4 linked regions of the Saccharomyces cerevisiae S288C genome follow. The protein of the gene in region 2 purifies or fractionates together with the protein of the main gene of each other region. This does not show direct contact. Each region holds a gene or a part of one and is shown on either strand. Other genes may lie near its edges. The genes, in order: NOG1, SSF1, ERB1 and HAS1.

Region 1 (6,212 bases), on a different chromosome or scaffold from region 2:
CTAAGAACATATTTATAAAACTAACTCATCAAAGCTGCCCAAGAACTCGGCAGCTTGCTTTGTTAACCAGGAATTACTTTCATTGTCGAGATAAGCCAAATGTCCACCCAAGTCAGTCTCGCATAACAACACACAAGGATTTTCTCTAGCTTGTTTGTACGGAATTACGTTTTCACCTGTAACTGGATCATCCGTTGCGTTGATTATTAAAGTTGGGATTTTGATATTAGGCAATCTATTTATCGAACTGGCCTTTCTATAATATGTTAACCCGTCCGGCAGGCCCATCGATGGGGCAGTGAAAAGATTATCGAATTCTAATATGTCTGTAAATTTTTCAGCCTTTTCCAAATTTTCTCTGGTATACGTATAAAAGACTGGTTTCTCAACTGTCGGTTTGTGCGAAACCTCAAAATTCTCTGGTACCTGCAACTCATTCATATTAACCTTGACAGTCCTTGTTAGAAATTGTGTTAAAGTTCTAGAAAAAATATGGTTGGACCACCAATCATGAGCCAACTTGTCCCAAGTGTGTACGAAATCCCATGGGTTTGAGAGAGCGACTGCAGCATTTAATGGACAGTTATCTCCTTCTTCACCTAAGTAGTTCGTTAGCATGGCTGCTCCAAATGATGTTCCGACTGCATATATTTTTCTTTGCGGAAATAGAGCTTTTTGGTGGTTCAAAAATTCTCTCACATCACCTGTGTGTAATGCGGTAAAGATTCTACGGGTGGTGACTTTAGATCTTGAGCAACCTCTAGCATTAAGGACTACCACTTGGAATTTACCGTCACCGACTTTTGATAGATCTTCAGATAATGCCCTGATGAGAGGCTCATGGCTTCCCCCTGCAAGACCATGAAGTACTACCACTAAAGGGTAAGAATAACCCTTAGAATGACATTTTTCAAGTTCCTCAGAGGATAGATATCTAGTTCTCGGGTGAAGACGAGGCCAACCCTTTGGATGGGTGGCCTTTTCATCGTTCGAAAATTGTTTCTCGTTAAAACTAGCCTTTTCAGCATTTAATGAATATGTTTGCTCCCATTCAGGCATAACCCAATCTGCAGTGCAGACCCCTCCATCAGAAAATTTTATAATCTCTCTTCCATAAAATACCTGAAATTTTTTGGAAAAATCACCGGCTGACAAATAAAGGGTCTGTAAGTAACCTGTGAAAAGCAAGCTGTTTAACCTAAAATTTGCACCATCTTTGAGTGTAGGCACGTGTTTGGTTACGAATTCATGAAGAGGAATTTGGCGCTTAGAATCTCTGAAAGCCAAAGACTTGGTTCCTTTCTCTCCCAGTACATGTTTGACGGTGCCGTTATAGCCCCAATGGCTAGGAGTGACAGTTGGATAGTAACCCGAGCGAAACATTAAAATGACAAATATGAAAATACTTGATATCTTGATCTTTTTGCTAATCTTCAAAAATACCGAAAACTAAGTAGGCAACCAGATGCAGAACCCTTCTTATATAATCGATTCCTGTAAGCAAGTGTCAGCAAATAGCTTCTATATAGAGACCTTTCGGTGAAAGTATATTAAAGCCGGCCGGAAATTGAGTAATAATAACCGCTAATTATGCGGTGTGTGGATTCAGATTTTTGCCAGGAGCGATAACCTTCAAATCTAAAACTACTCACTATAAGCGATGAAGCAACCAGATGGTAGCGCTTTGGTGCCGGTTCTCTTGAAGGTTTGTACATGTGCGAGTTCATGAGGTTACAATATAGAAGGTTTATACAGTAGAGCTATACAGGATAATGGAAGTTCAGTTTTGTTCGGCTTTTTCATTGATGGCTTTCTTCTTATTGCTTTCTCTCTTGGCTTGTTTCTTCTTCATTCTTTTCAGTTTCTTTTTGTAACTATAAGTATCCTTCTCACCAAAACCGTAAAGTGGCTTAAAACTCTCTAGTACACCGCAATCTTCGAACAGGTTGGGAAAGATCCAGAACCCACCAACATCTTTGTAGACAATTAATGACAAAACATATAATATCAATCTCAGGATAGCGACAGCAAAGAAGCCTGCTAAGATGCCGAAGGCACCCAGAGACACATAATAGGAGCCGCGTCTCATGGAGCGCGGCCACAATGGGTAGCATACGAGCGCCAATATGATGGACACGACACCAATGACGATCAAGTAATCCATGTAGGTTCTAGGGTTATAGTTCCAAACAAAGTATTCATCGGCTTCCAATTGTGCTTTATTCGAAACAATCAAGTGCGGAAAGTCCTTGCTTGGCTTCAATCCATGCTCTTTGCATTCTTGACTATGCAATTTTTTCACTGGGATCACCATTTGTGCCTTTATAAGTTGAATAAAGATTTCACGTGACTTAAGCTGGTCTTCGATCTTGTTAGAAGGTATAGTTGGATATATCTCTGGCTGTCTTGCAGATTTGTTGGCATACTCCTCAGAATGCAGTGCCCTAACAAATCTCTTGTAACGGAAGAAGTCTGTCTGCTTGGCCTGGAATAAACCCTGCCTTTGCTTCAACTCCTTATGGTTGCGTAAAAGAGTAGCAATGGCTGTAGCAGATCCGCCATTGACACTAGCACCTGCATTGCTACCTGGACCTACGGCTGACATGTTCTCCTGTGTTTGCTCGGCTACCATACTGCATTCAACTGCAATTATAAAAGCCCACTCTTCTCCCTCTTGATTTGTATGCCAGTATTGGGAAAACGACACGTCTATTCCGTCGCACACGATCTTCACTTTCTTTTTTTTTTTCAACTGAACGAAAAGTTTTTTCCGCAGCTCATCGCAAAGAAAAATTTTCACCTATGTACTACCTCATCTAATACAATATAAAGAATACACTTCAGATTTAGGAGTTGCAGCGTTTATAAAAAAGTAAGTGTACCCTCCAAAAGCAAACACATCTCCCTCCTATACCGAAGATGCAACTTTCATGGAAGGATATCCCTACTGTCGCTCCAGCAAATGATTTGCTGGATATTGTCTTGAACAGAACCCAGAGAAAGACACCAACTGTGATCAGACCTGGTTTCAAGATTACAAGAATCAGAGCGTTCTATATGCGTAAAGTTAAATACACAGGTGAAGGTTTCGTGGAAAAATTTGAGGACATTTTAAAGGGTTTTCCTAACATCAATGACGTGCATCCTTTCCATAGAGATTTGATGGACACCCTATACGAAAAGAATCATTACAAGATATCTTTGGCAGCTATATCTCGTGCGAAGTCCCTTGTGGAACAAGTCGCCAGAGATTATGTCAGATTGCTAAAATTCGGTCAATCTTTATTTCAATGTAAACAATTGAAAAGGGCCGCTTTAGGTAGAATGGCAACTATAGTCAAGAAATTGAGGGACCCATTGGCCTATTTGGAACAAGTCAGACAGCACATTGGTAGATTACCATCGATCGACCCAAATACCAGAACCTTGCTGATCTGTGGTTATCCAAATGTCGGTAAGTCCTCGTTTTTGAGATGCATTACCAAATCAGACGTCGATGTTCAACCATATGCTTTCACAACCAAGAGTTTATACGTTGGTCATTTTGACTACAAATACTTGAGATTTCAAGCTATTGACACCCCTGGTATCCTAGATAGACCCACTGAAGAAATGAACAACATTGAAATGCAATCGATTTATGCCATTGCCCATTTACGTTCTTGTGTTTTGTACTTCATGGATCTTTCCGAACAATGTGGTTTCACCATCGAAGCTCAAGTTAAACTATTCCACTCCATCAAGCCTCTATTCGCCAACAAGTCTGTCATGGTTGTTATCAACAAAACCGACATTATCAGACCGGAGGATTTAGACGAAGAGCGTGCACAATTACTGGAATCTGTTAAGGAGGTTCCAGGTGTTGAAATCATGACTTCTTCATGCCAACTGGAAGAAAACGTTATGGAAGTTAGAAACAAAGCATGTGAAAAACTATTGGCTTCTAGAATTGAGAATAAGTTGAAATCTCAGTCTAGAATCAACAATGTTCTGAACAAGATTCATGTTGCTCAACCTCAAGCAAGAGATGATGTCAAGAGAACACCATTTATCCCAGAATCTGTCAAGAATTTGAAGAAATACGACCCTGAAGATCCAAACAGGAGAAAGTTGGCCAGAGACATCGAAGCTGAAAATGGTGGTGCTGGTGTCTTCAATGTTAACTTGAAGGACAAGTACCTATTAGAAGATGATGAGTGGAAGAATGACATCATGCCAGAAATCTTGGATGGTAAGAATGTTTATGATTTCTTGGACCCTGAAATCGCTGCTAAACTGCAGGCTCTTGAAGAAGAAGAAGAAAAATTGGAGAACGAAGGGTTCTACAATTCTGACGATGAGGAAGAAATCTACGACGGTTTCGAAGCATCCGAAGTAGATGATATCAAGGAGAAAGCTGCATGGATTAGAAATAGACAAAAGACGATGATTGCTGAAGCAAGAAATAGGAAGTCCTTGAAGAACAAAGCTATCATGCCACGTTCTAAACTAACTAAGTCCTTTGGTAAAATGGAAGAACACATGTCCACTTTGGGCCATGACATGTCAGCCTTACAAGATAAACAGAACCGTGCTGCTCGTAAGAACCGTTATGTTGAAAGAGGTTCTGATGTTGTTTTTGGCGACCAAGATGCTTTGACAGCTTCCACTGAAAACGGTGTCAAGTTGAGACAAACCGATAGACTGTTGGATGGTGTTGCTGATGGCTCCATGAGATCCAAGGCCGACAGGATGGCCAAGATGGAAAGAAGAGAAAGAAATAGACATGCCAAGCAAGGTGAATCTGATAGACACAATGCTGTTTCCTTATCAAAGCATTTATTCAGTGGTAAGCGTGGTGTCGGTAAGACAGATTTCCGTTGATTTCTCTACTTCTTATTCTTTCTTTTGCATGTACTTTAAAAAAAATATGAATATAAAATGTGGATGTACGTACACGACATTCTAATCTTTTTGGGCTGGTAGGATTACCATTTACATTTGATTATCTCTCTCACTATTAGTGGTTTCTTTTTCTTTCTTTCTCACTTTTTCTGTATCTTTTTTTTAAAAAAATTTTATTTAATCTGTATAATAATAATAAACCGATTTAAATTATCCAACAAGCCGACCCCTCCATGTTCTACTATTTTTTTGTATGTCACTGGATGTATACAAATAATTAAGCATGTGGAAAAAGAAGGGGTGGGATAGCGTCAAGATGACACTTCTACTTTTTTGTGACACATCATCATGCAACCTATCGAGTCTCCCACGAGGTTGACAAATAAGAAATTGTTATCGTTTTTGCAGTGTATCGTATAAGGCAACAATAGCGATGTCTCCCATCAATTGACTGATAAATTCCTGCAAACTATCATTTTTTTTTTTTCATCCTTGTGCCGCGTCTGTAGCCGAAAATCTGAGAGTGCATGAATCTTAAAAAACAGAAGACTCATCGCCGTCTTTGGCACATTGGGGTTGTCTTTGACTTCTTTTGCTTATTTTTGCTCACTTTGCTTATTTTACCTATTTAACTAGAGGTTCTAAAAGAATAGCCAACCAGCGTGTAGTTCTTATTTCTAATCCTTGTCTTGTTAAGTTGAAACTTGTGATATTGGCTGAACAAATTCTCCGCATTTAGACAACACACAAATTACAGCTTTCCCCTAGTAACGATTGTTGATTGAGCTCAGACAATACGCGCAATTTAAAAACGTTTTATAGTGTAAGAGAAGACAAGTACAAGAAAAAAATGGTTGCCAATTGGGTACTTGCTCTTACGAGGCAGTTTGACCCCTTCATGTTTATGATGGTCATGGGTGTCGGCATTTCATCGAATATTCTATATAGCTTCCCATATCCTGCAAGGTGGCTAAGAATATGCTCCTACATCATGTTTGCTATCGCTTGCCTTATTTTCATTGCTGTGCAGGCACTACAAATATTACATTTGATTGTCTATATTAAGGAGAAAAGCTTCAGAGAATATTTTAATGACTTTTTCAGAAATATGAAGCACAATTTATTTTGGGGTACTTATCCCATGGGGTTAGTTACAATTATAAATTTCTTAGGAGCACTCTCGAAAGCGAACACGACGAAGAGCCCCACTAATGCCAGAAATTTGATGATATTTGTTTACGTCTTGTGGTGGTATGATCTCGCAGTCTGTCTAGTAATAGCGTGGGGTATCTCGTTTCTCATCTGGCATGACTATTACCCTTTGGAAG
Region 2 (6,046 bases):
CAACAATCAATGGAAGAACAGTGGTGACATCAGCAAAAAGTTTGACGGATTTGGCTTCAGCCTTGATCTTACCCCAAGACACAGCTTCGTCAGGTCTTGCACCTGCATCAGAACCATCGTATTCTTGACCAGTGTTAATGTAAACGGCATAATCAGCACCATTTCTCATCAAACAAGCATTGGCAATGTGGTGCTTGATCAAACCACCACCCAAGATGATCATACCGGCTCTGTAAGCGGCCATGGACATTGAATTGATTTTGCGGATATCTCCTACAATGTCAACTCTTAGTTGTTTTGGAGATGCTTTAAAAGTATGGAAAAACAACATGTCACCGATTGAACCATCAGTCAAAGATGGACAAAAGATTGGAATTTTATTCTTGTGGGCCCAGTACAATACGGAGGATTCGTCGTTGATTTCCTTACCAAAACGATCTATCATCTTAGATGGGGTCCAGATTGGTGAATCCACGTCTTGGTTAGCCTCTAAACAGTCAGCGCCATGTTTCTTTACGTATTCATCTTGTTCTTCCAACATCTTATCCAAAATTGGGACAATCCATTCTTCAAACTTACAGTAGTTATCATTTGGAACAAGCAAGTTACCAATACGATTCATACCTTGGTCACGCAAAGATTTACCTTTCAAAGCAAATTCACCCAAGTAAGTTGGAGCAAGACATTTGATCAAATCTTCTTCCACACCACCAGCAGAAGTAACGACAGCATCAACCATTTTGTGTTGCACCAAATAACGTAAAGTTTCACGTACACCGGAACTGATCAAGTTAGAAGTATAACCCATGAAGATAGTAGTCTTTTGGTACCCTTCCTCATCGAAGCAACCTTTCTTTTCATGGTCATCCAATTCGTCAATATGCTTACCTCTCCATGATCTCATACTATCAATAATCTCACAGGCAGTACCAACAGAACTAGCTTGGAAACCCATGGTCTTCATAGCTTCAATTAAATCAGTTGCTCTCATATTAGTGGCTTCAGGCTTTGAGTAATCAATACCTTGAACCTTAACGAAGTCATCTGGAATAGGAACAGATGCTTTCAAGACAGCGTCTTGTAGTAACTCTGGGAGTTTTTCGTTGATATCGGACATCTTTTTTGCTTTGACTTGTATATAAGTTAACTAAGCAAAACACGACTTTACTCTGCAGTTAGATACAAAACTGATAGAGGGAAGTACTTTGCGTCAAAATGGAAATATACATTACATTTAATTTTTCACTTTACTTTTTATTTTTTTTTCCCACCTTTTTTTCAGTTCTTCCCGTAATGCGTTTACCGTCAACCTGGTGATGGCGAGATATTATGGTAATCTCGTTCGTGACCTTCCACTGTTCAGCAGCTACTAGTATTATTTCAAGAGACAAGAAACACACAGGTAGTGATTATCTGCAGAGAGACAATTACTGGTAGTCAACAGAAAACATCAGCTTTCATGTAGACTAAGTTGGCTTTCTGGAGGTCCCTAATTTGAAATGTGTACATTCCGCTCGAAGAGCTTAAAGACTGACATATGCTCAAAGTAGTGTTTGGATATATATAATTCAAATTGCGGTATCGCAACTGTCTGATTGGTTGTTCGAGAAAAGGTTGGATGCATTTCTGTAGTAATTGGACCGAGAAGGGTCCTTGCATGATAATATCGTCGTAGCCTTCAACATAGCGACTGTACTCTTTGTCCCAATGAATTCGGTGCGGATTCAAAGACATCTGACCATAAGCTACAATATCCATATCAGTAACAGTAAAATTTTTTAAGATCTTATAGTTCTCCTCTCCTACGGGCATCTTGACTGCAGTCTTGTTTGCGGGTGAATTGGTGTACATTAATACCCTTCTCTCGAATAAGCAAATGTCCATTGGACTCGACACATTTTCGGGCCTTTCTTGTAAAAGGGTTCTTTCAATACAGACAACATGTTCATCTCGTATTTTTTTTACGTATTTGATTGATTCGTGGCATGTATACTCCTGGTCTAAGGTGACTGGTAAATACTGAACAAGCTCTCCTTGTCCCCAAATCCTTCTACGGTAGCGTAAATCAGGGTTTCCTAGCAAACTTGCAGGATTTTGATAGTTAAAATAACCATCTCTATCCAATTTTTCGAATGATGGTGGGAAGAACAGGAAATGTTCTCCCAGTTGAAGATGCTTCGTTGCCTTTGATACAGGGAGTCTCCTACAAAGTAAACTATCAAACGCTTTGGTTCGGTGACTAGATAAGACATCCCTGAAAATCCACGTTTTGGATTTCATGCTGATAAGCTGTCTTTAGATAAGTGGACGATTGCCCACCTTCAATGTACCAGCCACGCTCATGTATCGAAACAGTAGCTTAAAATGGCGTAAAAAAGGTAAGATCGAATTTTTTTTCACATGCCTTCTGAGATCTACGTTTCCTTTGGGCTATGATTTAAAAGACAAAGAGTTTATATGTATCAAGTATGCAATTTATCTAAAGTGAAGAAGTATACGTGCGTTGGTGGATAGCCAGGCTTAACTAAAATTTTCTTGGTACCGGAGAACAATTTATTCGACCTCACTAAATAAGTCACTATCTAGATCCTCTGGTACGCTACCATAATGTTCGCTGTCACTTGATGAAGACTCATCATCGCTCATCGCATCATCTTTTCCTTGACCTTCACCTCCTTCTGCTGCTCTAGCTTTTCTTCTTTCCAATTTACGTTGCTTTTTAGCGTCTTTAACAGCCTTCTTTTTAGCAATGTTTTCTTCTTGTTCCTTCTTTCTTTGTTCCTTCAGCCTCATTTTTGCAGCGTGTCTCTTTTCTAAAGCTTTGATTTCTTCGCTTGATTTTTGAACAAATTCATGATGTAACACTTTACCTGAACAAATACCTTCTTCTATCTTGACCAGTTTTAAAGTTAATCTTGGTCCTAATTCAGTTAGTTTGATAGCTTTCTTACGTGGGGTTGGTTGCAAGTTTTCTGAAGGCTTAGGTTCCTCCATTTCCACATCTTCTTCTTCTGTTTCTTTTTCACGCTCTTTATTATCCTTCTTTTCGACCGGTGTTCTTTGGGACTTCAAACTTTGAGAATGCTTTGCCTTCACGTCCTGATTATCAACTACTCTCACGATAGCGTCATCTTCAATTTCAGATTCTGATGTATAGGCGCCTAAGTCGTGATCTAATATCAAAGAAGAAATATCTTCTTTTCGATGCAAATTCGGCACTGTTTTACTTAGATTATTTTTGGCTTTATAAAGCCTTTTTAGGTTTCTAGAGATCTCTACTTCTCGAATGTCAATAAAATAGTGGCGCATAGAAATTTCCCCTGTTTCCCTGTCTTTATTGATCATAAATACACGTTTGATAGAATTCAAAGAAGTTCTCGCAGGATTCAGAGGTGGGAAAATATTCTGAAACATAGAAACAATGACCTTCTCCACGTTTACATCCTGGTCGTCTTCACCAGATCTTTTGGATGTGGAAAACCCGTTTAGCACTAGCAATGGAGGATTTAATACATCATCATTATTCAACGATTTAGGTCTCTTCAAAAATTTTTTGATATCTCTACCCAGAGAATAGTCCAATACTTGAAAAGTAACAGTAGGACCTTGCGGAGTTCTAGCTATCTTTAGGGAGACATTTCCTGTTTTTTCAGATTGAGTGAACATAAAAAGATGCGTAACACCTAATGGGCCACACATAACAACGAAATCCTTCAGTTTATTGGACTTGCGCTCTTTCAATTTTATAGCCGTATGTGGTTGCATGATTTGGCGGAAGTCCTTTACTAATTGGTTCAGAGAATGGTTGGCCAAAGAAGTTTGACCCACTCTGATTACCATTGACTTAGGTATACCTTGTTCCTGCTCAGGTGTAAGCTGTGCATGTGTTCTTTTCTTTTGTCTTCTCTTGGCCATCTTGAAATTTTATTGTCTGCTATATCTGGATTATACTCTTTTATTATTAAACATACTACTCACTCAAACCCAGATATCGAACTAATATCGCGATGAGATGAGCTTCTTCGTCTACTTTTTTTTTTTTTTTTTTTTCAGTGAAAAATTTCAATTTCGTCTAAGGCGATAAAAATGAAAAATTTAAAATTAATCAATGAGCATTTAGCAATTGTACATGGTATACACAGAATTGTGACATATCTTAGAAGCAATATATACCAAGATTCTGTTAAGTACTTCACTGAATCAGCTATAAAAATGTCCAAAATTGTTAAGAGAAAGGAAAAGAAGGCTAACGATGAATTAACTTCTTTAGCAGAAAAGATTAGAGCAAAAGCTTTGGAAAATCAAAAGAAGCTTATAGAAGCAGAAAAGGAAGGTGGTTCAGAGTCCGATTCTGAAGAAGATGCTACTGCTGAAAAGAAAAAGGTTTTGAAATCAAAAAGCAAATCCACAGTATCAACCCAAAATGAAAATACTAATGAAGATGAATCTTTTGAATCCTTTAGCGAACTGAATCTGGTCCCCGAATTAATTCAAGCTTGTAAGAACTTAAATTATTCCAAACCCACTCCCATTCAATCTAAGGCAATTCCTCCCGCGTTAGAAGGTCACGATATAATTGGACTTGCGCAAACAGGTTCTGGTAAAACTGCTGCATTTGCTATTCCCATTTTGAATCGGTTATGGCATGATCAGGAACCATACTATGCGTGCATTCTAGCTCCAACAAGAGAATTAGCACAACAGATCAAAGAAACATTTGACTCATTAGGATCCTTAATGGGCGTGAGATCGACATGTATTGTGGGTGGTATGAATATGATGGACCAGGCCAGAGACCTGATGAGAAAGCCACATATTATCATTGCTACACCTGGTAGATTAATGGACCATTTAGAGAATACCAAAGGGTTTTCACTGAGGAAACTGAAATTCTTGGTTATGGATGAAGCTGATAGATTATTAGACATGGAATTTGGACCTGTTCTTGATAGAATTTTAAAGATCATCCCAACCCAAGAAAGAACCACTTATCTTTTTTCCGCTACTATGACTTCCAAAATTGATAAATTACAAAGAGCAAGTTTGACAAATCCTGTGAAATGTGCCGTGTCAAACAAATACCAAACCGTAGATACATTAGTGCAAACACTGATGGTCGTTCCAGGTGGTCTTAAGAACACATACCTAATTTATTTATTAAATGAATTTATTGGAAAGACGATGATCATTTTTACAAGAACCAAGGCCAACGCGGAAAGGTTGTCAGGATTATGTAATTTGCTCGAGTTTAGTGCCACTGCGCTACATGGTGATTTGAATCAAAACCAGAGAATGGGATCTTTGGATCTTTTCAAGGCAGGTAAGAGGTCTATTCTCGTGGCTACAGATGTCGCTGCGAGAGGGTTGGATATTCCATCAGTGGACATAGTTGTAAACTACGATATTCCTGTGGATTCCAAGTCCTACATTCATCGTGTGGGAAGAACCGCAAGAGCTGGTAGATCAGGAAAATCTATCTCACTAGTATCACAATACGATCTGGAATTGATCTTAAGAATTGAAGAAGTTTTAGGTAAAAAACTACCGAAGGAAAGTGTGGACAAGAACATTATATTGACCCTAAGAGATTCCGTCGATAAGGCTAATGGGGAAGTTGTAATGGAAATGAACAGAAGAAACAAGGAGAAGATTGCCAGAGGTAAGGGAAGAAGAGGAAGAATGATGACAAGAGAGAATATGGACATGGGAGAAAGGTAGGCTTTGTAAGCATGGTTTACCTTTTAACGCCCAAAAGTTCAATTTAACTTAGAAATATTTATCTATATGTTCATATATACATCTATCAATATCACATAAAATTGCCTATCATTTCTTATTCGTTTCCTATTTGTTTCTCGAGCCATTCATAACTCATTCCGCGTAATGGGAGCGGTAAAAGATGTGCAAAATAAGTAACTATTTACGAAGTATTCATATTTTAGCTCTTTTTCTTCGTCGAATGTGATGGTGAAATTTTTTCCAAGAGATGATGAGGTCGGATAATATATGAAGTACATGGTAGTCAGCTCGCCTATACAAGAGGTTT
Region 3 (6,801 bases), on a different chromosome or scaffold from region 2:
GAGGACGAGTTTTGGACGAACGTGGGAATAATGAAACGGTACTTAACAACGTTGTGCCGCCTAAGGAAGATTTGGATGCATTATTGAAGACATTCAGGGTACAAGGGCCCGTTGGCCTTGAAGAAAATGAGAAGAAGCTCTTATTAGGATGGCTAGATGCGCATAGAAAAATGGAAAAAGGCTCTATGACTGAAGAAGACGTTCAACTGATTCAAAGTTTGGAAGAGTGGGAAATGAATGATATAGAGGGACAACATACTCATTATGATTTATTGCCAGGGGGAGATGAGTTTGGCGTAGATCAAGATGAGTTGGATGCTATGAAGGAAATGGGCTTTTAGCAATGTCATTGAAGGTAATAATCCAAACGTGCGTGTGGGCATCTATACATATAGGTTTATATATATTGTGTAAATAAAGCTTGTAGAAAGAGCCTGGTTCGAGTGTTTGATTTTTTCTTCTTGGGCGTTATTATACAATATCTACTTCAAATTATTTATCTAGGTGGTCCATAAGCGAGCCGTATTATCAGCACCGGCAGAAAACAGCCAAGCTTCCCTCGGATGCCAAATAGCATCAAGAACACCCAGACTATTGATTACTTTATGACCGGTTAGTTTCTTTAGTGGCACAATCATCGGATTTTTCATCATGTCATCATAAACAGTGGCATGGAAAACATGTATGGTACCGTCATCAGCGGCAGAGCTGAATAGAGGTAACTTTTTGTGGAAATTCACACTTCTGACGGCTTTTTCATGATATCTTAGTGTCTTGTAAGGTGTGCTAGCCAAATCCAGGTCGTGCCATAAAACTCTCTTGTCAAACGATGACGCAATTAAATTATCACCCCTTGGGTGAATATCGATTTTCGATAACCAACGGGCACCAGGCAACAGTTTCTTGACCAATATTTGTTGAGATAAATCATAAATTCTGACATATCTTTGGGAACAGACAAATAATTGAGGTTTAAAAGGATGGAACTTCGCATCCATAATAATGCCCTTCGATTTTTTGAATGGGGATTGGGTTAAATGCTTGGAAACTTGGTGAATCAAAACAGAAGTGTTACCAGAGTCAGGTTGAACAGTGACAAAGTAATCACCTTTTCTATGCCATGAAAGCTTTTTTACTGTTTTTTTGCAAGAAATAGTGATACAAATATCCTTTTCTAGTTGCTTTTGAGAAGGCTTGTTCCATTGGGCTACTTGTTTTTTTACAGCATTCTTAGCAGATTCATTCTCTCCATCTTCATCGCCATCACCATTCTCGTTCACTTCTAGGTTAGATTTTTTAACAGTCCCAAAAGTATCGTAGCCAAAACCATCTTCAATCTTAGTTTTGCCGTTATTTTCAATATCGTAGCCGAATATTGGTGGTACTATTAAATGAATGTTTTCACCAACAGCAACGGCGAGAATACCATTATTAGCATCAGGATTCCATTCAATGCATTCAATGTGGTAATCTGGGTTTTCCTCGTCATCGATTAAAGTAGTTCTATAAACTTCTCTACCAGTTAAAATTTCCCATACCCTGACTGTTCCGTCATCAGATCCTGTTGCTAGCCATAATCCAGAAGGATCAATGGATAATGTGCGTACTTTTCCTTTGTGACCAGCGTATATTGTTGAGCAACGAATAGGGAAGGGTCTTAAATCCTTGGGAGAGGGAAGTTCTGGAATTAGAGAATTAGGATCAATATTCAATTTGTTTTTACGGACACGAGGAGCTAAATATAAATCCAAAGATCTTTCAAATCTTTCCCTAATAGATTCACCGTAACCAGGGACCTTTCTTAAGGCAGAATACTTTTGAGGTATGAAGTTTCTTTCTCTTTCACTATATTCAGTATTTTCCCAGGCCTCCTTTTCTTCAGGAGACAAAAGATACTCTTCTGGTGGATTATAACTCTCTTCATTAGTTGGTGGAGGTAATTTTGGTGCCCTTAGATGCATTACATGATCATTTGTTTCCGTAGAATCACCCCATAAATCGTATTGATAGTTTTCAATTTTTTCCTTTTCTTTCATTTCCTTTAATTTTTTAGGAGGAATAATACGGCCCTCTCTGATAGCTCTTACAATTTTCATAACTCTCTTGGCTTCGTTTTTGGATGGAACAAATCTTCTTTTTGGCTCCGGAACAGCAGTTAATGGCATCACTTCTTCGTGTCTCGTGAACCAATCGATTAACGGTTCGTATGGATTTATGCTATCATCAGTTTGTTCGTTCCTTTGGATTTTGGAAATAAGTTCTAATTCCTCTTTGGTTAAGTTCAAACTTGAACCGGAATTCTTGTCCAGTAAACCAGTCCAGCCTTCAGGTAGCTCGATAGAATCCAACAGTTGATCTAAAGCAGAACCCTTGGCAGGTCTCATAATCCTTTTACCGTTGATATCGTATCCAATGTGTGGCATTTCATCGTATGCAGAAAGTGGAATATTACCAATGGTATTTTGCGTTTCGGCATCACTATCATCGCTATCATAAACTGGATTAATTTCAGGTTTGATAATTCTATCACTGCCATCTGCATATTTTGAGTAAATATTCGGATCAACGATCGTTTGCAATTTCACACCCGATAATCTGTCTGTTAAGGAAGTTGTGTCGTCTGAAAACTCAGAACTGTCATAGTCCTCTTCCCCATCACCTTCTTCTTCGGCAAGCAGTTTGTTTAATTCAGCATCGGAGTCATCATCAGAATCATCTTGGGCTTCTTTATCAGAAGATGATTCCTTTTCTTCAACGGCAGACTCGTATTCGTCATCATCCTCGTCACTCTCACTTGCTTCCGCATCGATCAAACCGTCAACGGATAAAAGCTTGTCCTCATCTTCCTCGACATCAGATTCTTCGCTAGCTGCTCTCTTTTTCGACATCTTTGCCTCGGTAGTTTTGTTGTTCTTAGCCATCATTGACCTAGTTATGTTAGAACAGATTTAATACAGTACCTTTCTTCGCTAGGATCTATATGCGAATATATCACATATGTAAATTATAAGCTCATCGCAAAACCAAAAAAAAAAAAATTTTCAATAATTTTTCACTAATCTTCAAAAACAAATGGGGTAACCCGTACAAGAGTTATTAAAACCCAAAATGACAAAATCGCGACAATTCAATCCTACTTAATTAGCAATAACATACTAGCGGTAGAGCTACTATCACATGTTGAACCTTGAATGCTCAATTCATTGTACTCAATACTGCTATCAAAAGAAAAAAAATGTATTAATTATATTCTTGTCAAAATCAATTTTACACTATAAGAGGAAAATGTTCTTCAGTCCTAGTAACATTAGTTTTCTCCCTTTGCTAGAGACTTTACATAATATCCTAGAAGGTAAAATTCGATAATACAGCAGTAAAGTCGTATATTGGTAGCAATCCTTGGTGACGCTGACTTTTTTTTTTTGTAATTTTATTGTTTAGTTCATGATAAAAAACTTCAAATCACTTTTAATCTGGTAGACAGAGAAAACAAATCGAAACGAAAATAGAGAACTACGAATAAAAAAATATAAGTGGAGAAGATCGTCACTACGCATTAAACAATATTGATCGCTCAATGCCAGTACTGCGCGTAAAAGTTTAGTAACTTAACGATTTAGGCACAATTTGAGAAAAATTTCGCCCTGCAGTAAGTATGTTATTCAGTACGATATAAAGCTGAGGTTTTATGCTGGCAACGTTCAGATTTTTTAGGTTATCAGCAATGTTAAAATATTAAATAGGATACTTTTATTGTTTGAGACCACCCTCAATGCCAGATATGTTAAACGCTTTTTTCTGGAGTGAGGTATCATAGAAAAAGGCTCGAGTACATCAAGCACTTAAAGGTTCAACACTCTACTGTTACTTCTTTAAGCTAAGCTATTCATACATAATAGTCCATCAAAGTGGCTCAAATTGCGCATACAGTGTAAAAATGCGTTCAGGGAATAACGATGTCAAGCAGCGTGTGAAAATTGGACACGTTGAATAATAAACTTCCTGGAAACCGTCGCGCGCCACTGCTGTCAGAAAATAGTAGACTACTTAATTTTCAATTCATATTTAGCCTGCTTTTTGATCTATGAAATCGCCCACTCTAAATCAGCGGTGTTTTTGCACGGTTTGTAATTTTAACTTCATTATATGTATTATTCGGTGACTTCACTAAAAAAGAAGGATCTATGCAATATTCTTATCTTCTATTTTTTTTCTTTTCGATTTTTGAAGTTAAACCTTCGTAATGAACAGATTCGAACAGTATACAGCTGATGACAATTACATGTTAAACTTTCATTGATGATAATGGCACGCACTCCACCTGTTAAAGAGGCAGAACGAAGAACCTTTGCTTATAACATAGGTCAGTGTATACTGGATAATAGTATCGAATAACCAGCATAATATTTTCTCTGGAAATACCTTTAAGGGGTTTTTAGAAGAAAAACAAATCCTAGTGCAACTTGCAAGTCATCAAAAATAATCTATCTTATCTCTATATATATATTTGTGTATTTTATATTTTATGACAAAGCTAGAAATATAAAATCAGATACCGCAATAGAAGATATTTCAAATAATAATACCAATCTCATAGCTCAAAACAGGCACTAAGGGAATACTGAAGAAAGTAATGTCTAGGAGTTAGTATAGCTTGAAGTTGCCATCGGTGTCATTTAGGTAGATCTATCTAGATTACGCGCAGCCCTCAGAAAAGCAAGTGATTTCCGAAGTTTCAACCTACCCAGACTATTCACATAAGGTTAATTTATGATTGAACAGTTCAAATAAATCTGCGCCATTCATGAAGATGATTCGATACCGCAATATGCTGCTAAAGTGCTAAAAAAATGATTTCGCCCAGGATCGAACTGGGGACGTTCTGCGTGTTAAGCAGATGCCATAACCGACTAGACCACGAAACCAGGTTTTATTGAAAAATTGCATCTAAAATAACCTATACTAATAAATCTTCTAATAAATCTTCTAACTCTTCGCTGTTCTATGTGATATCGTTGATAGTTAGGTTTTCGTGTTGAAATAATCAATTACATTTATTGACTGGTTTAATATTAATATATTATCATATACAGTGTAAGAAGGTGAGATATATGTGGGTAATTAGATAATTGTTGGGATTCCATTGTTGATAAAGGCTATAATATTAGGTATACAGAATATACTAGAAGTTCTCCTCGAGGATATAGGAATCCTCAAAATGGAATCTATATTTCTACATACTAATATTACGATTATTCCTCATTCCGTTTTATATGTTTATATTCATTGATCCTATTACATTATCAATCCTTGCGTTTCAGCTTCCTCTAACATCGATGACAGCTTCTCATAACTTATGTCATCATCTTAACACCGTATATGATAATATATTGATAATATAACTATTAGTTGATAGACGATAGTGGATTTTTATTCCAACATACCACCCATAATGTAATAGATCTAATGAATCCATTTGTTTGTTAATAGTTTGAATGTTTTTATCGGAAGAGGTTTGGTCATTACGTCTGCAATATTCTTTTTGGTTTCGATATAGCATACGTGCAGATGATTTCCTGATACTTCATCTCTTAGTCTCATTGCTTTAGTACCAAAAAATCTGTTTCTAAATTTCTCTTCATTATTGGATATAATTATACTGATTGTAGATTTACTGTCGGTTAGTAATCCTTTAGTAATTGGTTTCTTGTTAAGTTCTTGCACAAGGTGACTGAGGTTATTTAATAATGGGACAGATTCACTTATCGCGTGTATTTCTGCTTCCGTAGTTGAAGTACATGTTAATGAAGCCTTGGTGGACTTTCCTCCAATTACTTTTCCATTAAGTAAATATATGTTGCCAATTTGTGATTTATAATACGGTTGGTTACCATACGATGCATCGCTTATAACAACTAATTTATTTGTTGGCTTAACAGGTTTGCTTTTGTGCCATATTAATTGCTTATCTCTCGTATTCCATATGAACTGTATCAATTCATATGTCATATCTAACACTTGCTTGGACGGAAATAGTATATGTTGTGCAAGTGTGTTGATGTAGTATAATAGGTCAAATCTAAATTTATATCCAACATATGATGCTAGACCTATCAGCTTTTGCATTTCATGTACCTTCATTTTGTAATCATCTTCTTCTAGCTCTAGTTCTTGCTGGTCTATATATAGACCTGGTTGACCTGGAGCGCTAAGTTTCCTTCCTTTTGGGTTCAAAGGTACGTTTAGTTTGGGTATTTTTTCAGTTAATGAGTTTTCCATACCTAATTTCATGTATTTACCTCTTTGATATTTGATTTCTAAGCCAAGTATGTCGTACTGAATTTCGTTATCACTTTCACCCAGATTTATTATCTTTGTATCGTATTGTTTCTTGAGTGTTGTTATGATTTTCTTATTTGCATTTAAGTCTTTGCTGAACAATATCATATCATCAACGAATAAGCAAATTGTTACTTGACTATTCTTAAATACGCATGACCATCCACGAACTTCTTCCATACCACACTGTTTTATCAGGTATGATTTGATAGTTTCGTACCAGTTCGCTCCACTTTGTTTCAATCCATAAAGTGATTTCTTCAAACGTATTAACTTATCATTCATTCCTAAATGTGGTGGAGGTCTTATGTATAGTTCTTCTTTGATGTCTGCATACAAATATGCCGAAGATATGTCTAATTGTGTAATATAGTAGTTATTGTCTAATGCAAGTGACAGGGATGTCATTAATGCATAGTGATGTACGGTATTGGATTGCATGCCTGGGTCGTAAGTGTCAGG
Region 4 (5,984 bases), on a different chromosome or scaffold from region 2:
TGGTAACATGTCTAAGGATTACATATACTTCATAACACCATTATTAGAAGATGCACTCACCGATAGGGATTTAGTTCATCGTCAGACAGCGTCGAACGTAATAACCCACTTAGCTTTAAACTGTTCAGGTACAGGTCACGAAGATGCCTTCATTCATTTAATGAATCTTCTAATACCCAATATTTTTGAAACTTCACCACATGCTATTATGCGTATTTTAGAAGGTTTGGAGGCACTGAGTCAAGCTCTTGGCCCTGGACTATTCATGAACTACATATGGGCAGGATTGTTCCATCCAGCGAAGAATGTAAGGAAAGCATTTTGGAGGGTGTATAATAACATGTACGTAATGTACCAGGACGCCATGGTACCTTTTTACCCCGTTACACCAGACAACAATGAAGAATATATAGAAGAACTGGATTTAGTTCTGTGAATATATATAGAGCATATAAATAACCACAACTTGTAAGAATATTTTACTTGACACACCTATATCATCACGTCACGATGCCTTCATAGATTATGATGAAATATAAACAGAACCTGCTATTGGAAAAAAAAGGGCAGGAAAAAATTTTGTGAAAGTGAGTAAAAGAAAGATGAAGAGCGAGACATGGATAATAAGAAATAGATGTCACTAATGGACAATTGGAAGACTGATATGGAAAGTTACGATGAAGGAGGCCTAGTTGCTAATCCGAACTTCGAGGTTCTGGCCACTTTCAGGTACGACCCTGGTTTTGCACGCCAGTCAGCGTCAAAGAAAGAGATCTTTGAAACTCCAGACCCTCGATTAGGTTTGAGAGACGAAGATATTAGGCAGCAGATAATTAATGAGGATTACTCAAGTTATTTACGAGTAAGGGAGGTTAATTCCGGCGGTGACCTTCTCGAAAATATTCAGCATCCTGATGCTTGGAAGCATGATTGCAAGACCATTGTGTGCCAGCGTGTAGAAGATATGCTACAAGTCATTTATGAACGATTTTTTTTATTAGATGAACAATACCAAAGAATAAGAATAGCATTATCATACTTTAAAATTGACTTCAGCACGTCTCTGAATGATTTATTGAAGTTATTGGTTGAAAACTTGATTAATTGTAAAGAAGGAAATTCAGAGTATCACGAAAAAATTCAAAAAATGATCAACGAAAGGCAATGCTATAAAATGCGGGTACTTGTCTCTAAGACAGGAGATATACGAATTGAGGCAATTCCAATGCCTATGGAGCCTATCCTAAAATTAACAACCGATTATGACAGTGTTTCCACATACTTCATCAAAACGATGCTCAATGGATTTTTAATTGATAGCACAATAAATTGGGATGTTGTTGTTTCATCTGAACCATTGAACGCATCAGCTTTCACCAGTTTTAAAACCACTTCAAGAGATCATTACGCTAGGGCGAGAGTTCGCATGCAAACTGCTATAAATAACTTAAGAGGTTCAGAACCTACTTCTTCTGTCTCGCAATGCGAAATTTTATTTTCCAACAAATCTGGCCTGCTGATGGAAGGTTCAATAACAAACGTGGCTGTAATTCAAAAAGATCCTAACGGTTCTAAAAAGTATGTGACACCAAGATTAGCAACTGGATGTTTGTGCGGAACAATGCGTCATTATTTATTGCGGCTCGGCCTTATTGAAGAGGGAGATATAGATATAGGAAGCCTTACCGTTGGCAACGAAGTTTTGCTTTTCAATGGCGTCATGGGATGCATAAAGGGAACAGTGAAGACAAAATATTGAGCAGACGACAGATTTTCATATCAATGAAGTTTTTTTACAATAGTTTACAAATCATGATTTTACATACTCAAATATGTGCAGGTTGATACAGACAACGTACGTAGAAGACAACAAACAGAAAACAGCGGTTTATACATTTATTTAAATGACATACAGTGGAGAAGCAGAGAAAGGAAAAGGAGTGCGATGAGAACAGAAGATGAATACTTCGGTTGTGTTGGTTCCACGTACACATTAATAGCATTAAAAATTGATCCTCTGAAATTACTTATGAGTTTTACGTCTTTTGGTATTTGGCGTTTTTCCACTGGCACCAATTGTAATGTTAACCTTTGGAGGGACTGGAAAACCGTAAGACTTTGCTACTTTGGCTAAATCCAGCTTATCGATTTGATAGACAGTTTTCAAAGAGTGGGAAGCGTACGCTTGTAAATAAGATCTATAACCATCCTTGGCTGTTTGATGTAGATAATAGTTGGATTTAATTAATTTTTCTAATTGTGATTGAACGTTTGCAATTTTGTTTTCCGGGAATTCGTACTCATTTAATGGGACCTTGGAAGCCTTTAGATATCTTAAAAACCCTAATTCATTAGGTGTTAAAAACATTAAAGATTTACCCTTACCTTTAGTGCCTCTTGCGGTTCTTCCGACTCTATGAATATAATCTCTTGGATCATCAGGAGGGTCGAATTGAATGATCCAGTCCACAGCAGGGATATCTAGCCCTCTAGCTGCGACATCTGTACAAATCAAGATACCTCTTTCCGCATTACAGAATTCGAAAAATGTATTTGTTCTCTTTTGTTGTTTTTGCTTACCGTGTAATTCGAGGACTGGCAAATCAATATAGTTCAATAATTCAGCGTAATATTTCACAGAGTTACAAGATGATAAAAATACAATAATTTTCTTTTTTTGATTTCTTTTCAAGAAAGAAAATAACAACAAAAATCTCTTATCACTGTCACATACCACATAGCCTTGTTCTAATCCATCTGCGGTGGAGTTGTCGGTTTCAGGAACGACATTAATGAAAAGAGGGCCCGGTCTCAGCGAGATTCTAGCCAAATCCTCAACTTTGGTCGTTTGTGTAGCTGAAAATAACATGGATTGCCTATCTTCGTTTGGCAAGATCTTAATTATCTGCCTCATTTCATCTTCAAACCCAATTTCTAAGATTCTGTCCGCTTCATCGATAATCAAAGCCTTCAAGTTCTTGAATACAAATCCTTTTGTATTTTGTAAGTGATCCAATAATCTTCCAGGGGTAGCAATCAACATGTTAACACCTTTCATCAATTTTTCGGCTTCCTGTCTTCTATTTGCACCACCAATGACAATACCAAATGTCTGTGAATGGAATTCCATTAACTCTCTTGCCACTCCAAAAATCTGTAAAGCCAACTCTCTTGTAGGCGTAATGACAATTATACCGGTACCATTTCTTGGTTTGAATTTCAAAGAATGCAATAGTTCAATAGCAGGGATGAGAAACGCTAGAGTTTTACCAGAACCTGTCTTGGCAGCACCAAGAACATCCCTACCGGCCAAAAGAGGTGGGATAGTCCTTGCCTGAACAGAAGTCATAGTGGTAAATCCCATCTTTTCAATGGCCTTTAAAGTTGGCTGTGATAACTTTAGTTCTTCGAACTTTTCCACACAAGTAGTTTGTTCTCCCTCAGGTGCGGCATTGTTTTGTTTTGAAGTGCTCTTTTCATCTACTACAGGTTCTTCTGTAGATTCAGAATCTCTAGAACGTTTATTTGACGGGGTAGCCATACTTCTCCTGTTAATATTGCTCAGCTTATCTAATTATTATAGTATACAGTTATCCAATAGCTATGTACTCAAGTACCGTGTATACACTATAAAATCTCATCTCATCGCTAAAGCTAATATTGAAAAAAAAAAAAAAAAAAAAAAGAAAAAGCAAATAAAAAATTTTCAATTCGGGTAACGAAGAATCGACTCTCGCCGGGTAAACAATTCTTAGTCGTCATACACTCCTCTTTACGTTAAGAAAATAGAAGTAGCAGCGCTTTGTAAAGCATTAAAGCGTCATGGATTGCAAAATACACATAATATATCACTTGTGATAGTGAGAAATGGAATGAAGTGGTTTAAGATGCTCTTTTACCAATAAACATATTGCGCCTATCAAATCATTTTCCACCCCTGTTAACTGATACAGATATAGCCTTACATATAACTTTTGCACTCCCTAAAATTACCATGGCTGTTCACCGCCTGCTATCATCCATGTTTTTACATACATCTATTAGGTTTGCCATCTTAGCCGCCGAAGCTATCGTTGCCGGTACAGGCGCTCCTTGAATAACCCCCTCCCCCCCACGCTATTCTTCAAATTCCGATTTCAGCTTCTCTTTGTTTTTCCTTTTTTGGCACCTCGGAAAAACCTCCACGTGTTAGGTTATTCCGCCGATTCCACGGGTGGGGTGCTACCAAGACTCCTGAAAAAGAAACTGTATGACGAAAAGAAAAAAAAAAAGCTGCTTGAATTCCAACACCGCTTTCTTGTTCTGACAATAGAAAGGGGGATTCCTAAAAAAAGAAAAAGAGGGCGGGGTTTATCATGTACTCAGAATATGAAAACGTGTCGAACGGGGATGACTTCTTCTGCTTCTTTACTTCTTTCTATTTAGAGTGACAGTTTTTTTATTTGTTTTGCTAACTTGTTTATTTATTAATTTCTTGTTTGCTCCTTCAGTTACCTACCACGACTGTCTCAGCCAAACCGCGATATTTTCATACAATTGACATTACAACAGTTCAAAAAGAAAAATACACATCCAGGATATGACTACAGCTAGTTCTTCTGCTTCCCAGCTACAACAGCGCCTGCCGGAAGAAAAACCTTGGCCGCAACTGAGTGGCAGCAATGCAGACGCTCAAACCTTCAAATGTAAATACGTAACCAACCACAACTCCTTGGGCGATGGGAATTTTAGCGTCGTGAAAGAATGTATGAATATACACACAAAGGATTTGTACGCGATGAAGCTTATTAAGAAACAAACTGTCAAGAACAAAATTCAACTTATTCAAAGAGAGTTCGACCTTTTGAGGTCAATAAGCGAGAAAATCAGAGATATGGAAAAAAAGAATGAACATTCTTTGGACATTTTTGAGGGGCATCACCATATTTTACAACTTTTCGACTATTTTGAGACGGCAGATAACATTGTCCTGATCACTCAGCTGTGTCAGAAGGGAGATTTGTATGAAAAAATTGTTGAAAATCAGTGTTTAGACCTCGAAACTCAAGTTACCTCGTACTGCGCCTGTTTGGTGAGCGTTCTCGAGTTTTTGCATTCTCAAGGTATTGTTCATAGAGACTTGAAAGCAGAAAACGTCTTATTCAGATTGAGAGTGAACGAAAACGAAAAAAACCTACAGGGTGAACACCACGGAGATTTCAAATACGATCTCTTGGCACACGACCTAGTTCTCGCCGATTTTGGTCTTGCTGCTGAATATAACACAAGTAAGGTAAACTCGTTAAAGGAGTTTGTTGGAACCATCTCGTATATTGCTCCAGAAATCGTCAAGTGCAAAGGTGTCGGTGAAATGACTCCTGATCAAGTTGGCAAACTAGACAAGTATGGTTGTCCGGTGGATATATGGGCCCTTGGTGTACTGACATATTTCATGGCCTTCGGCTATACGCCCTTTGACTGTACCACAGACGACGAAACTCTGGAATGTATTTCAAAATGTGACTATTACGTCGACGAACAAATGATGCACGACCCTAAATACGAACAATTTTGGAATTTTGTTCAATGCTGTTTTACTATTGACCCGGCCGTTAGGCGTTCTGCTAAGAATTTGAAACAGCATCCCTTTATTAAGGATTATTTTGCTACTTCAAATTCTTTGAATACTAAGGACACGCCGAATTTCTCCTTTCATCCAACAATAAGAAGGGTATCTTCTACAGCGTCCATGCACACATTGAGGTCTCCTTCCAAATCAAGAAAGACAACTACTCTAGCGTATTTAAATATGGATGGCGGGTCCTCTGAAACTTCCACCGCCTTCAGCAGCAAGATGGATTTGCCTGACCTTTACGTTGATAGAACCATTAATTCTCGTGAAAGATCATTGAATAGAATTCGAGACACTCTGAAGAAAACATTATCCATGACATCTCTTAAGCCTGCAGGCACATTCGACTATCTTCACGCTAACAAAAACGGTA

The links.
Region 1: the proteins of SSF1 (region 2) and NOG1 purify together in Saccharomyces cerevisiae (affinity purification with western blotting; 13 studies listed by BioGRID, with this or other methods). This does not show direct contact.
Region 3: the proteins of SSF1 (region 2) and ERB1 purify together in Saccharomyces cerevisiae (affinity purification with mass spectrometry; 5 studies listed by BioGRID, with this or other methods). This does not show direct contact.
Region 4: the proteins of SSF1 (region 2) and HAS1 purify together in Saccharomyces cerevisiae (affinity purification with mass spectrometry; 9 studies listed by BioGRID, with this or other methods). This does not show direct contact.

The regions. Positions count from the first base shown.
Region 1 is NC_001148.4:368,059-374,270, forward strand, and holds NOG1 (putative GTPase NOG1), read left to right. Parts: upstream 1-2,919; coding exon 2,920-4,863; downstream 4,864-6,212. Other genes in the region: EEB1 (medium-chain fatty acid ethyl ester synthase/esterase), read right to left, coding at 13-1,383; Sec63 complex subunit SEC62, read right to left, coding at 1,781-2,605; SSU1 (Ssu1p), read left to right, coding at 5,735-6,212. UniProt on the Saccharomyces cerevisiae protein: Involved in the biogenesis of the 60S ribosomal subunit.
Region 2 is NC_001140.6:227,204-233,249, reverse strand, and holds SSF1 (rRNA-binding ribosome biosynthesis protein), read right to left. Parts: upstream 3,916-6,046; coding exon 2,554-3,915; downstream 1-2,553. Other genes in the region: DYS1 (deoxyhypusine synthase), read right to left, coding at 1-1,117; hydroxyacyl-thioester dehydratase HTD2, read right to left, coding at 1,438-2,280; RNA-dependent ATPase RRP3, read left to right, coding at 4,213-5,718. UniProt on the Saccharomyces cerevisiae protein: Required for biogenesis of the 60S ribosomal subunit.
Region 3 is NC_001145.3:367,594-374,394, forward strand, and holds ERB1 (ribosome biogenesis protein ERB1), read right to left. Parts: upstream 2,925-6,801; coding exon 501-2,924; downstream 1-500. Other genes in the region: CSM3 (Csm3p), read left to right, coding at 1-341.
Region 4 is NC_001145.3:848,051-854,034, forward strand, and holds HAS1 (ATP-dependent RNA helicase HAS1), read right to left. Parts: upstream 3,542-5,984; coding exon 2,024-3,541; downstream 1-2,023. Other genes in the region: U2 snRNP complex subunit HSH155, read left to right, coding at 1-436; aminodeoxychorismate lyase ABZ2, read left to right, coding at 635-1,759; protein kinase TDA1, read left to right, coding at 4,580-5,984. UniProt on the Saccharomyces cerevisiae protein: ATP-dependent RNA helicase involved in 40S ribosomal subunit biogenesis. Required for the processing and cleavage of 35S pre-rRNA at sites A0, A1, and A2, leading to mature 18S rRNA.